Arabidopsis thaliana: one gene and its partners. The protein of the gene in region 3 interacts with the protein of the main gene of each other region in a pairwise test. Each region holds a gene or a part of one and is shown on either strand. Other genes may lie near its edges.

Evidence for each region.
Region 1: the proteins of AT4G23860 (region 3) and SVP interact in a two-hybrid assay, tested with the Arabidopsis thaliana proteins (one large-scale study listed by BioGRID).
Region 2: the proteins of AT4G23860 (region 3) and AT2G33720 interact in a two-hybrid assay, tested with the Arabidopsis thaliana proteins (one large-scale study listed by BioGRID).

The regions. Positions count from the first base shown.
Region 1 is NC_003071.7:9,577,777-9,584,416, forward strand, and holds SVP (K-box region and MADS-box transcription factor family protein), read left to right. Parts: upstream 1-1,870; 5' UTR 1,871-2,640; coding exon 2,641-2,822; intron 2,823-3,729; coding exon 3,730-3,808; intron 3,809-4,094; coding exon 4,095-4,159; intron 4,160-4,274; coding exon 4,275-4,374; intron 4,375-4,459; coding exon 4,460-4,501; intron 4,502-4,612; coding exon 4,613-4,654; intron 4,655-5,125; coding exon 5,126-5,167; intron 5,168-5,265; coding exon 5,266-5,417; intron 5,418-5,808; coding exon 5,809-5,827; 3' UTR 5,828-6,125; downstream 6,126-6,640. UniProt on the Arabidopsis thaliana protein: Transcription repressor that inhibit floral transition in the autonomous flowering pathway, independent of photoperiod and temperature. Acts in a dosage-dependent manner.
Region 2 is NC_003071.7:14,262,135-14,265,717, forward strand, and holds AT2G33720 (AP2/B3-like transcriptional factor family protein), read left to right. Parts: upstream 1-1,597; 5' UTR 1,598-1,641; coding exon 1,642-1,953; intron 1,954-2,186; coding exon 2,187-2,855; 3' UTR 2,856-3,068; downstream 3,069-3,583. Other genes in the region: AT2G33730 (P-loop containing nucleoside triphosphate hydrolases superfamily protein), read right to left, coding at 3,545-3,583.
Region 3 is NC_003075.7:12,407,376-12,412,220, reverse strand, and holds AT4G23860 (PHD finger protein-like protein), read right to left. Parts: upstream 3,215-4,845; 5' UTR 3,056-3,214; intron 2,927-3,055; exon of another isoform or gene 2,924-2,926; 5' UTR 2,886-2,923; coding exon 2,802-2,885; intron 2,688-2,801; exon of another isoform or gene 2,438-2,687; coding exon 2,279-2,437; intron 2,180-2,278; coding exon 1,907-2,179; intron 1,820-1,906; coding exon 1,067-1,819; intron 975-1,066; coding exon 885-974; 3' UTR 543-884; downstream 1-542. Other genes in the region: LACS4 (AMP-dependent synthetase and ligase family protein), read left to right, coding at 3,958-4,112, 4,543-4,606, 4,695-4,784.

The DNA.
Region 1 (6,640 bases), on a different chromosome or scaffold from region 3:
CTCTAAACACTATTCAATTTCAAATATAAATGATTCATGCGGTTCCAAACGCCAATTGATGGATGTTCTACCAAATTTAATCTACTTTTACCAAACCATGACAAATATGAATAAACATTACTTGATAATAATTTTGTGAGTGAACAAACTTTTTTTTTTTCGAAACCAAACCAAGCTGAAAAAAACTCAACGATTTTCTTTGTTTAAAATACGTTAGAAAGGAATATGTATTATGCCGAAATAAGTAATATCGATCAGGCCACCTCTCTTATAGTTATTCTCCTAGCAACTTTAACCACTAGAAGGTTTTGTTTTCTAGTGTTTTCTAATATACGTCATCAAAATTTTCAAAAAATACTACATTTTTGTTTTAAAAACTTCCATAATTCCATTACTCGTAGAACACAAACGCAAACCATATTAATATTTTGTTGTCAACAAAAATTTCAAATTATAATTCAACTATATTTGCTTGATTACCCAATTAGATAGAAAAGAGTTAAAGAAGAAAAGAAAAGAGTTTACAGTAAATTAACGCAAACCATAATTATATTTAACACCGTATTAATCACATCAACCATATGACTTTTTTACCGTTTGCAACTTCATAATTCATATAGTATCATAATAAATTCGCAATAATACAACACAAGAGTTTCGTCGGAAGAGTAAATAATACTCAAATAGGGGGTGAGTGATACGAGCCACATGTATTCTTGAAGGGTAGATTATTGCAAACTTGGAGTAATAAAGAGAAGAAGAATGGGTTTGTAGTAGTTGCGTGGAGTATCTTTATTTGGGTAAAACTTTAATTTAGAAATAAAATTCTGTACGGACAATGGATCGTGTCCCAATCAGATTTCTTGTGGCTGCTTCGGGTCTGGTTTTGGGTCCCTTTGAAAAATTTTAGTGGTCGACACTTTTTATTTTACTCTGGCTCGTGCCTCGAGGGTCCCTCTATTCACTGTTTCTTCGTATGAAGGTATGCTTAAACATTATTTTATTTTTAAAAACCCTTTAATTTTATTTTCTTACCTTTAATCACGGTTTTGTAAATTGCTTTTTAGTCTATGGAATGATGATTGTGGCGATTGAAATCATATGTTTGGTTCTGTTGTTGACGTTGGTGAAGTATATGTGATTTGTAATGTTGAGCTTATGTATTAAAATGTTAAATGATAAATAACCTCGTAAGAAAGTGATTTCATTTAAATTTTATTTTGAGTTACATATTCAATTGGTTTTATAAAAAAATACTTCAGTGATGATTGATACCCCCATTGTGTGTGTAATTGTTACTGGGATTGAACAAAATTTATTTGTGCATGACAAACTTTCCAAATTAGTGCATAGATTGTAATTGTATAATGGACTACATGTATCTGAGTAGATATGGTTCATTAGGTTACAAACCTCTTTTTTTAAGGACACAATTTTTCGACAAGTTATATGCCACATGATTGACTACTAAATTTTCAAAAATTATTGCACTAATGTCTTTGAAATTAACAAATTATTTTGTCATTTCCGAGTTGGATTCTTACAAACCAAGGCCGAACTCACAAACTTATTTCTTTCAGTAAAAACAAAACATTGTCCTCAGAAAAATTCTGAAATGTCATCTTCCCAAATGTTTTTACATAAATAAAAATAATATACAGTTGATATTATTTTGTTCTTTCTGAATTTTGTTATGAGGTACCATTACCATATAGTACGTAGATTTACAAAAATGAAAATACGTTGTAGCCCTTGATGTTCTTCAGGTCTTCTAGTTAGTTTTTGCAGTAAATACCAACCAATTAGTTACAAGGAGTATAAGTGAACAAAGTGAGACAACTCATTTTATGCTTCCCTATAAAAAGAAATTCCCCACTGACCCAAACACACACTTCTCTTCTCTCTCTCATCTCATTGGAGACTTATAAATCCTATTACCTCACCATATCCAATAACCACCACACACAGACCAATATCCAAAAAAAAAACTAAAACTAAAAATATAATATATATCGTTTTCTTTCCAAAAATAATCATTTAAGAAACCCCATCATCTTGATAGTATTATAAAATTAATAAACCTCTCCCTGAAAATATCTCATCCTTCACCAATCAAAACCTTCTCATGTCTTCTTCTCTCCTCGACCTTTGAGGTGGAAAATTAAATATATTCCCTTAGCTTTTTTTCTCCTTTAGTTTTCTTCTTCTTCTTGAGTTTTTTTTCTTTTGATCCTCTCTAATTTCCTTGTTGATTCATCGACTAGATCTAATTCTTCTCACAAAAGACTGAGTGTGTTCTTTCTTTCAAATCTTTCAAAAACTAGGGTTTTTACTGTCTTGAAATCATATTTATTCTTCTAAATTTAGCAAAAAGAACACGATTTACTTTCCATTTCAGTCGTCTTGTCACTCTCTCTCTCTTCTTTAAAGTCTCCCTTTTTAGCAAAAATTCTCTCTCTCACAAAATTTATTTCCTCTGGCTTCTTCTTCCTCCTCCTCCATCTCTTCTCTTTACTCTCTCTTTAATCATCTCTCATTCTTGAATCTTGATCCATCAAAATCAATCCCGTTCTCGAAAGATCCATTAAAATCAAAACCTAAGCTCTCTCTCTTGCTTCTAGGGTTTTTTTGTTCGTTGTGATGGCGAGAGAAAAGATTCAGATCAGGAAGATCGACAACGCAACGGCGAGACAAGTGACGTTTTCGAAACGAAGAAGAGGGCTTTTCAAGAAAGCTGAAGAACTCTCCGTTCTCTGCGACGCCGATGTCGCTCTCATCATCTTCTCTTCCACCGGAAAACTGTTCGAGTTCTGTAGCTCCAGGTCTTTCTTTCTCTCTCTAACTTCCCTCTCTATAGATTTCTCATAACTCATCGAAGGAATCTTGTCTAGATCCAGACAAAAAACTTTAAAGAGTTTTTAGATGTATATCTGATACATAGGAGTTTACTGTATCAATCTTTATAGGACCACTAACTATTTATATAATTAAAATAGTTGTTAGAAACATTAATCATGACCATAAATGACATATATAAAGTGTATAGTAAAACTCTGTATTTAGATAAATTAAGGTATCTAACTACGGTAATATTCAAAAAGATGTAAATCTGGATATGCATATATGTATATTATTAGTATATAAATACATGCTCTATAGTAGGTATTTGTGTCAACCATGTATAAATCTATGTATATAGATATTGTGGTATGATATGTTTAAGCCGTCAATGTCATATTTATATAGAAATATGTGGGTACCATAACATGAGGAAGTATCTATATGTGTGGATGTATAAAGCTTTCCCTTTGAAGAAGTAATCTAAAAATAATATATATATATATATGTATATGTATAGATATGTTGGAATCTTTATTAGTGTTGGGAAAAGTCATTTAGAGAGATATTATTGATATTAGGGATCTAAAATGACTTATCGTATTACAGAGATACGATTTTGGATTTTTGACCCACTAGTTATCAGCTCAGTTCCTATCTTCGGGGACATACACACTTTCACAGATAATTGTGTATATATGTAACTGAAAACGATAGTGTTAACATGAAATAATGTACATGTTTGGGATTAAATGTGTTTTGTGGATTTGGTTTGCATCTTTTGATTTTAGATTTTGGTATATTGTCGGTGTTTACATATGCACATTGTTAATATCAACAGTATAGTTGTTTATAATAAGTTATTTATTGGAATGTGTTTATATTATGAAGCATGAAGGAAGTCCTAGAGAGGCATAACTTGCAGTCAAAGAACTTGGAGAAGCTTGATCAGCCATCTCTTGAGTTACAGGTTAGCTACATTCTCGAAACGACCACACATTTTCTTTCCCGATTTCTGTAACTTGCAAAATCGAGTATTACTCCGTTGAATTACCAATATGTTTTAGATTGTTGTATTTATTGACCAAGAATCTCTTAAAACTTTGTATTAATAGGTACAAAACTTTATATTATTGCATATGATTAATTAGACTCGATCCATGTAGTAGTCATGTAGAGTAGTCCTGTGTAGAGAGTTGAGCTTTAGATCATTATGGATATGATTAAGAGCTTAAATCAATGTTTTATTCTGTTAGCTGGTTGAGAACAGTGATCACGCCCGAATGAGTAAAGAAATTGCGGACAAGAGCCACCGACTAAGGTACGTTATATATGTATATTCTATGACTTTTGAACTAACTATCATTTTCTAACTAATTTTTTTTTTGATCAACCACTATCATTTTCTAACTGTGTGTTTACATGATCATATATAGGCAAATGAGAGGAGAGGAACTTCAAGGACTTGACATTGAAGAGCTTCAGCAGCTAGAGAAGGCCCTTGAAACTGGTTTGACGCGTGTGATTGAAACAAAGGTTGTTAAGAAAATTACTTGATACCATGTATAAGTTTCTCTAAGCTTACGAGTATGCAATTTACTAATACGAGATGTGTTTGCAGAGTGACAAGATTATGAGTGAGATCAGCGAACTTCAGAAAAAGGTAATAATTAACCAAAATAACGTTTATTCTTTACTTGATGATTTCAATATTAATTTTGGCAGTTTCAAGATCCAAAATTTTCATCTTCTTCTCTTTTTTTTTGGTGTTCAGGGAATGCAATTGATGGATGAGAACAAGCGGTTGAGGCAGCAAGTATGTGTCTTACCCTCTCTGTTGATAACAAATCCCTTTCTTTTGTCTACCATTAACGTACACACCCCTAAATTTAATCCCCAGTTGTCTACAACACATATGTTTGATCATACTGTGAGATAAATGAATAAACCAAGTGATATAGCGCGATTTAAAAATGTCTTTAAAACTAAAGGTAACCATGTAGCTAGTTAGTCTCTAGGGTCCTAGAGGTCTACGAGTGTGCATGCATGGATTTGGTGCGTTTTTTCTTTTTCATCTTCATTTTGTTTTTTGAAACAGGGAACCATAAACGAATATATATCTAATTCTTGTTTGATATATAGTTTGGTCGAGGCTTCATGTCAAGATTTGCTCATTCGTAGTTAGTTGATCTCTAGAGAAATTCAAAACACATGGTGCCACTAAAAACACAAAATGCAAATACTTAGCTAGAGAACTTAATGATATGTTTTGTCTTGATTTTTGCAGGGAACGCAACTAACGGAAGAGAACGAGCGACTTGGCATGCAAGTACGTGGATATATATATAGTCTTGATTATTTTGAATTTTGTATGTTTGTTATCAGTTTAATGTTAAATTTGGAATATTTTTTTTTGGTTACGTGTAGATATGTAACAATGTGCATGCACACGGTGGTGCTGAATCGGAGAACGCTGCTGTGTACGAGGAAGGACAGTCGTCGGAGTCTATTACTAACGCCGGAAACTCTACCGGAGCGCCTGTTGACTCCGAGAGCTCCGACACTTCCCTTAGGCTCGGGTAACCAATTAATCACCCTTTCTTTTTACATTCTTTTGAGTTGATAGCTTTACATGATTTTTTTTTTGTTTTTAAATTGAGACAAAGAATATAAAAATATATACTTTAAACGACCATATACATGTATGTTGTCCATATTTATTGGCATTGCAAGATATGGATGACACAGAATCGTAAATAAATTTGGTTTATTTGTTGTATATTTGTAATTCTAACAAATAACATGTTATTTTGTATATTTTACATGATATCATGCTATTTGTTAAAATTACCTGTCATAAAAAACACCACTTATTTATGGTTTGTTTTTTGAAAATTCTGGCACAAATCTAATCATCTACAAAATCACTCTAAAAAATAAGTTATTGATTTAATGTATGGTGTTGTGCAGCTTACCGTATGGTGGTTAGAGATGGAACAATTCAAAGAAGTTGATGGAGTGAGGAGAGTAATGTAAATCTTTTTAACTCGGTAGTAACAAGAGACAATGTCTAAGTAGTGAATTCTCAAATGTTTGTGTAAGTTTCTGCCTATGGAAGAGGCTTTCATTTTTATGATTTTCACTATGTATGATCTCTCTTCACTGCATTTCTGGTTAGTAACGCTTGTCACCGATAAACTTTCTCGTTATGGAAAGTTAGAATATAAAATATTGTAGAATTTTGATTATCGATATACTCTTGGTTAGGGATCAAAAATATATTTTAGTGATGCCTCAAATAACTAATAATCATCATAGGACTCAGTCTCATTAGAAATTTTAGTGTAACAAAAGTGTGATTCGAATTCATCTTGTTGTTTTGTTGAATTTGTTGCAAAGTTTTACAAGTTTTCTCAGACCAGAGATTTCAAGTGTCTTCATTGGTGATGATTCTGGTGAATTGATGATCTTACTTGTGTGTGTGACACTTGCAATGTGTCTTGTTTGAGAAACACATTTGTAGTTTAGTTGGAGCTGTGCGGTTGGATGAGACTGAGTTCTATGATAATAAATTAGAAGCAAAGTTTCAAACCATATTCATACGATTCATTATGTTAGCAACAAGAAATATGAATATGGTTTGAAACTTTGCTTCTAATTCATCATTCGTTACACAACGTCCAAAATCTAAAAAAGTTTCAGATTTTCTCAAAATTCAGTAAATGGGCCTCTATATAATGAGGTTTGACGTTTTAGAGATACTTTGCACAAGAAAGAAGGTTCTGGTCGGATCGTTACACAC
Region 2 (3,583 bases), on a different chromosome or scaffold from region 3:
TGCCACAAAAGAATTATTCTTATTGGCCAACTTTGACCTAGTGTTATATTTGTATTTATATCTTTTAATTAAGTATTTATTGAATTATGTATATACATTGATTGTTGCATTCATCTTTTTTACTTAGTATGCCATCTATTCAATTAGATGAACACATTGTAATACTATAATAAATTACGTATGTTTAGTTACGATAGTGCTTTAATTTTGATCTAAACCACATGATCTAGTCAGAACGCTTTGATCGATATTTGTTTGTGTTTATTTTTTTTGTTGTTGCTAAATTGTAAATATCAGTAAGGAATGAAAGTTGGGGCGTACAAGAAGTTAGACCTATAAATATAATTGCTACTTTGCCAAAAAGGTATAAAAACAAGGGAACATATACAAGAGAATTTTATGAGATTCAATAAAAGAGCTTTAGTGGAGCCACACGGTTGCATCAGTCTTGAGAAGCTGCGCAAATGTCGTCTTGCTGAGATTGAGTTACGGAGTAACTTGTATATTGTTTTGGAGTAACTTGTGCTTGGGTTCAATTGGTTTACTAGTACTTTATGTAGCAAGTTATAGAACAGTTCATATCTGTATATACAGTTTGTGAGGGTGGCATTTCCACAGTCTCTATTGGTATTGTATGTTTATGAGACAATTCATGTTACGTATATGAATTGTTACAAAACTTTATGTTGTGACCAGCTACAAAATTAGTTACCAAGTCAATATCCATGGCCACGACAACACAATAGCGGCCACTATACTAGTGAACAAATCATCGGTAGCTATACTTCTTGGAAATGGTAATGAATACTACAAAAATAACCCCACAATATTCTTAAGTTTTTTGTGTGGCTACACGCCTACACTAGCTTAGTCATGGATAAAGTCGTTTACATATGTGATATGTCCGCCTAACCAATGAGGATTCTGATTTCTGAATCGGGCAGATTTGTCCGGAACACGATCTATGCTCATGTAGGTCCTCATCACTCTTGCAATGATCTTTACCACAATTAATTCACAAATTCAACTTAAAATCTTATAAGTTGAAAAAGCTCCGATCCTCCCTCTTTGTTCACATTAAAACAAAACAGAACTTATTGAACACATATCTGCATGACTGCATTTTAAAAAGAAAACTAGCTGTATTGGGCTATGTTGTGGGCTTCGCTAGCCCATGTAGGTTGAATATCTCTTGTCATAGTAATGACCATCTATATTGAAATAAAATTCTTATGATAACACAAACCATATTAAATCTGAACATTGATTCACGCAAATAGAGATAGTTGGCACCAAAAGTCTAAGACGCACACTCATCTTCATAGGAAACCCAAACCCTAAGAAATGGAAAATTAACAGCTTCATAGTTCAAACGCAGAATAAAAATAACTACAAAGGTAATATTCAGTTTTCACATAAATCATTTTCCTTTTTTCTATAACAAATGGATTTCCTTTTTTAAACAGGAAAATACCTGAAAAAGTTAAGGCAAAGGTGGCTACTAAATTATTTATATATCTACGTTCCCTTAGCTCTCTGAACTTGAGTCTAAGATAAAGAAACTCTCGACGACATCTTGAGAATCGAACGAGAATGATCCAAAATCTGCAAAAATTACCCCAAGACCTCCAATCCTCGGCAATGAAGATGCCTCCTCCCTTTTCTGCGTCGAAGACTCAATACTTGTTCCACGACGAGTCATCGGAAAACTCTAAAAAGAGTTTGGTCTCCACAACTCTTTCTTTGTCGTCTTGTGAAAACCCTAATAAGAGGAAGATGAACTCTGACGAAGTTCTCAATATTTCTTGCATACCAAGAGACTACAAATTAACACAAGTAGAAAGAAAGATTGCACGAATGAGGAATCTCTCGTATCAAGAAAAGGCAGAGGACGAATGGTACGGTGTCTCAACAGAACTAACACTCTTCAAGGATCCGTGGATCATCAAAAAGGTACTAACCACTAGCGATCTTGGCCAGATATACAGGAGAATCCCTAATATTTGAATCAATATAGATGTTCTGGACATATTCTTAAATTATTTCATATCGATCTGATTTTTTTTTTTTAGTCATAAAATATGAAAATATTTGTAAATGTAAAATTTAAGAAACGCTTTTCAGAAACCATTTATTTACTAAAAAAAATATATGACTAAAGAAAAGAGTTTTGATCCTTTGGTCAGGTTTTTCACTTTGCTTCAGTCTTGGATATGGCTCCCAACTCAGTCTCAAATACTCATTGCTTGTTGGACACGGAGTCACCAGAAAACGCTGAAGAGAGTTTGGTCTCCCTGGATCTGTGTTTCTATGACAAAACATGGCCACATGATCCCAATGTTGCTTACAATAAACCAACGTCCGAAGAAGCAATAAACCTGGCGTGGATGAGGACTATGTCGAAGAGAGCAAGAAAAGAAGAGGAGAAGTACTACGTCTCGACAGAACTAACTCTCCTCACCGTCGCTGACCCATGGACCTTGAAGATGGCAATGACCAAAAGCAGTATTGGCAACCTATACCGTCTTGTTCTAAAGGCGAGCTTTGTAGACATCCACATTCTGAGATATCTCCCTTTGGATGATCAAATGATGGTCAAAGAAGACTCTGGATTAGCAGTCGAGGTGTATGATCACGACACTGACTCTGTGCACAATCTGGCTCTTAAGAAATGGGCCAAATCTTCAAGCTTTGTTCTCGTCAGCGGATGGCGTAAGTGCTTTGTCGACAGAAGAGGTTTGCAGGTTGGCGATGTGATTGGAATGTATTGGGATCGTTCTGAATCTAAGCTTCATTTTTGTGTGCTTTCTCGTTCCGAAACAATGGATTCAGCTCCTCTTCCTCCAAGTCCATAGGACCTCACTAGCTATGGAGGCTCTGCAGAGAGATTCTTATTTTCTTTATGTAATCGTCAAACAAGTGATTGGTGTTGTTTCTGTTTTTTTGTTGTTGTCTCGGTGTTTTGGTTTCATGTGTTTTTGTTTTTTAAGTATACCGGTGTTGTTTTTTATGGTTTCATGTGGTTTTTATATGTTTTAAGTGTTAATAAAGAATCCTGCTCTCATTATAAGTAAAAGTAGTTGAGTTATTTGTTACAAACCCACATATAACAATGCAACATAGTAGTTGTAGACAAATCCACCACGGGGCATTAGATATTACAAAAGAATATTTCACATTCTCTTAGTGTTTTAGGATAAAGGAAAGGTCGAGTTCGCGAAGTCATTTTCCACATAACCAAATTGCATTGTTGTCTCTTGCTTAGCATCGTCTCGAGCATCAATTTTCAATTTAAAACACAAAGAGGAGATATATATGTGGAAAAATTAGGCAGAGAATCAAAGATACTTTTCTTGAACAAGACCAGTACTAAATCGTTTTAAAAAGGTACTCAAGTTTCAACTATTACACTTGCTACTGCTTCCTTCACTATCAAACTACGAATCTTAAAGATAAAACATGCGACTAAGCACACGCATGAGATCAATCCCAAAAGGTAAACGTCACTGGGAAAGTTAAGAACAAATCCAGAGAGCCTATCGACTCAATTTATATAGACAGTGTCACTATGTCTTGGGGGTCT
Region 3 (4,845 bases):
TTTTCTTAAAAACAACAATAACTCATGTCGACAACAAAAAAACACTAATAAGTAATAACTGACCTAGAATTAATATTCGGTTAAGTGATTTCTGGCAAACTTTTTTTTTTTTTTTGGTCAGGCCTACAATACTATTTAATTAATTTTTGTCATAACAAAAAACATGATGACCTCACATGTAAACTGAATTTGGTTTTCCGAAGCCCAAAACCTAATTCTTAGTACTTTAGAAGGCCCAATTTATAATAGTTTTTTACTTTGCGTGTGTAGTTTGTAGTAGCTCTTCTTTTAGCATGCTCCATAGAGCTTCTTAAAGGAGCTTCCGGAGTTACAAAGCGGTATATTAACAATCTCCTACATCCAACAAAAGAGCACATGAGATTGCGAAATGTGTAATTGATGATCTTCGACTTCCTTAGTATGTCGCAAGACATTACCGATGTGTAATTGTTGCTCTGTTCCTTACCTTTTTGGCTCTCTCTCTGTTAATGAGTTGTTTTGACAATGGGGCATCGTTGGTTATAATAAAAGACGATAAAAAGCTCTCCTTTTAGCATGCTCAAAGTATTTCCGAGTCCAAGACACATTATGAAGATAAGAGTATTTACTAAATTCATATAAAAATAGTTGGAAAGATAAAAGTAAATAGTAGTTCTAGAACTAGTAGCTTATTATATATAGTAGTCGACTGTTTCATAAGCTACAAACTTCATGCACTAAAGTAAAAAGTTGGTTGCATTACTTAGGAAACTAAAGACAGACAAGAGCAGAGGAAGAGGAAAGAAACCTCCTCATTCTTCATTTCAAACCAACGAAACAACATATATCTAAAAAAAGTTAACATGAAATGTCGAAAGAAAGACTTACTACCTTTATAACTCCTCTCACTCCATCCTTTTACGTTTGTTTTTCAGTTTTGAAAACATTTGCTCGATATCTGCAGAAGTTATCGCCTTTGATGGCCCAGCAGACTCCTACAAAACCAACAACGAATCAAGTCTTTTTAAATGAAGTGGTTCCTGAGAATTGTAATCAAATTTCTTTCATAGATGGTGACAATATATACCATTAAACCCTGGAGTCCGTCTTGGAAGTCTTTGATTCCGTGAAGGAGCTCAACTTTGGATACGTGGTCTAGATTATTCAGAAGATCAAGTGCTTCACCTTCTTGTTTCTCCAGTTTCTCTGTTCTTTTTTCCTTCGCCTTCTTCTCGTATTCAACAATTGTGTCCTCTGCATCAAGTAGATAGCTTACCTTTCTCTGCTTATACATCTCAAGGCACTTTTCGCATCTGCATAGGATGTTCCTCCAGTTTTTGGTCAAAAACAAAGGTTTCTTCTCAAACTCAGGACACGAGTTTAGATCAGTCCTAATAACACAACCAGCTGCAGGAACATTTTCAGAGCCATCGATCTTCTCAGAACATTTCCGCACAACGAATTTCTCGGCTTCAGTACTGTTCTCAGGCTGGCCGGCTTCAGATTCATCGATCTTCTCAGAACATTTTTGCACAACAGATTTCTCGGCTTCAGTGCCGTTCTCAGGCTGGCCAGGTTCTGAGTCACTGATCGTCTCAGAACATTTTCCTACAACAGATTTCTCAGCATCAGTACCGTTCTCTGGCTGGCCGGGTTCAGAATCCATGTGGTTTTTGTCTAACTCAATTGTCTCTGAACAAGCATTAGCAGAACCAGTGGAATCTACTTTAGCAACAACCCACAAGTTCTCAGGATAAAGTGTCAGAAACGAACATGCTGGGGAGCAGTTTTGACAAATGAAATCTTCATAGATCGGCTCACTTTCCTCATCCCTTGGAATCTGTTAACATCACATAACAAATTGCACTAAGCGCCAACAACAAAAAAAATCAATCGTAAACAACAAGATTAAGCACTGGCCACAAACCTGGCTACCAACACTGTCTGAAGGTGTGAGACCGAGATGCTCCTCATGAAACCAATCCTCACAGAGACAACACTGAATCATCTCTACTTGTTCTTCCACATTTGGGTCAGGGTAAGGTCGGTCGCAAGTGCAGTACAAGCCTTTGAAATTATGGTTGTAAGAATTTTCAGAGTTTTCTATATCTTTGCTCGGGAGAAGCTTACAAGCCAAAGTTCCAAACTTTGAGTTCCCGCAATCACATCGAAAATTTCTCTTAGTCCACAGCTCCAAAAGCTTCATAACCAGAACAATGTTCAACCATTAGGAAACCAATTAACACTATGAAATCAGATTTCAAAATACATAACCTGGCTATATATCAACCATATTTACCTCATGGCCATCATGACAAGATAAGCAACAAGCAGTGCAAATTCCAGCATTCCCCTCTGGTGTACATGTAATGCATGAGAAAATTGCTTGCCTTTTCATGTAACCCTTTGGGAAAGTACACTCATCTCCTTCATCTCCACCCAACACCAAATCCGCTGCCTTAACATCAAGAATCACAAAAGCAGTTAATGAATATTAAACCCCTAAACCCAAATAACATAGGATTACAGAAACAGATACACACTACTGAAATTAATAGAAACTAATTAAGAGACACACACTATCATTACTAGCTAGCCAAAACCTCAGAGACTGTACAATAACAATCCAACACACTCCACTAGCTTCAGAAAAGGTAGTCAATTTAAGGTCAGAATCCAATTTCAAGACGTTTGTTTACACTTAAATCTAAACGATTTATCACCAACCAAGGAGTGAAAATGTGGAAGAGTATTAAACTTTCGTAAGGATCAGAAACATACATAAGCTTTAAAACTGATCAAGAGGAGAAAGAGAACATTACCAGCTCTTCTGCGTCAAGCCTTTCGATATATTCATTGATCGTTATAGTTCCTTCAGCTTCATCCTCGAAAACACCAGATGCCATTGTCGCAATTATTCTTCACAAATTCCCACCTGAATTCACTACTAAAAACATGAAATTGGGTAAAATAAAAGCTATTCGAAAGACTCAAACGAGATATTCCCTAAATTCCTTAAAAAAAATGAAACCCTAGATTATTCGCAAAACATCAAACATGTCAATCGGACCATTACCAGGTTATTGATGGAGTTCTCAGACTTGTAAAAGCCCTAAAGCTTTTCACTTTTCAAGACATAGATAAACGAAGGCAGAGAGAGAGAGAAATTGGGGAAAACGAAGGTGGAGCTTAAGGGTTTGGAAGAAAGAAGGATCTAGCGGATGTTAAAATTCTTAAATGCGAGAAAATTTATGTATGTTATATAAAGGAAGGGACTTTATCGACATTTTCCCGCCATTAACCCTCCAATTCTATTACCCTTTTCCCTCCACTATCAGCAACTAAGCATAAGCACAAGATAAGTATTGTTACTTGATAATGTACATGTTAATATTAATTTGTATCGAGATTAAACGGATATCAAAATCTCAAATTCTTGCTTATATGGTTTTTTATGAATTGAAAATTTATATTTATTTTTTTGTTTTGATAACTAATGTTTAACAAATATCATATCTGTGTGCAACTAGTCAAATCTATCCACAAACACACATACTAATAGAGTAATAAGCATATTTTTAATTATCGTAGATTAATTGATAACCTCTAAAAAAAAAATTAAATTGGGGGATAAAATATTGATAAAATCTAAAGTTATTTAAATCAAAATCACACACTTTTTGTTTTGTTTCTTGACATCTTAATTATAAAATCTAAATATTGGCTAATATAAATTTCAATTTGGATAATATGACTTTATTGGGCCTAATATGATGATACGTATACGGCCCAATAAGAGGTTGAATATGACTTTGACTTTTTCAGGTTTATGGTCAGTGAGTAGCAACCAATCGCAGTCGTAGTTGAAAGTCTCTATTAACTTCTTCTCCGATCTGAGAAAACGCGTCAGAAGTTTCTCGTTCTACAGATAGAGAGAGAAGAGAACGAGAACGAAGTAGAGAGAGAGAGAGAGAGATCATGTCGCAGCAGAAGAAATACATCTTCCAAGTTGAAGAAGGCAAAGAAGGTAGCGATGGAAGACCATCAGTTGGTCCAGTGTACCGGAGTATCTTTGCCAAGGACGGATTTCCCGACCCGATCGAAGGAATGGATAGTTGTTGGGATGTTTTCCGGTGAGATTTCTCGTTTAACCGATCGGAGTTTGTGTTGCATGAGCCTCGTTTCCGATTCTTGCTGAGATTTTGATCCTTGATCTGTTGACTGATCATGGAATTTGTTCTGACTTGCGTTTTTTGCTCTTTATGGATTCTCAAGTAGTAAGAATCGTATAGTTTAATTTCGTCTAGTGTTTATCTGGATTTGATTCATGTTTGTTTAAGTTTTTCGGATCGCAAGATCTACCTAAGTTGCTCTAATCGATAGAAATATAATTTGTTGGTTAATGATTTTGCCATTTGTCTATAATAACATCGTTTTGAGTGGCATGTGATTAATTAACAGTTGCATGAATTTGGTTGACATTTTTTGTTTTGCTTTGTGTGTGGTTTGGTGATATTTTGTGGTTGTTGACTTACATTTTTCTACTGTTATTGTTTATTGCAGCATGTCTGTTGAGAAGTATCCAAACAATCCAATGCTGGGACGCCGCGAGATTGTAGATGGAAAGGTGTTGTTACTGTTTGTTATTGATTTTGATTTTGTGATTTTCGTTTCATGTTATTATAAAATTCACTTGTTATTTTGATTGTTCTTAGCCGGGTAAGTATGTCTGGCAAACATACCAAGAAGTCTACGACATTGTCATGAAACTTGGAAATTCTCTCAGAAGTGTTGGAGTTAAGGACGTAAGATCCATCTTTTTCCTTTCAGATATCTATATTCAGTCTCATTATTTCCTTTTTTTGT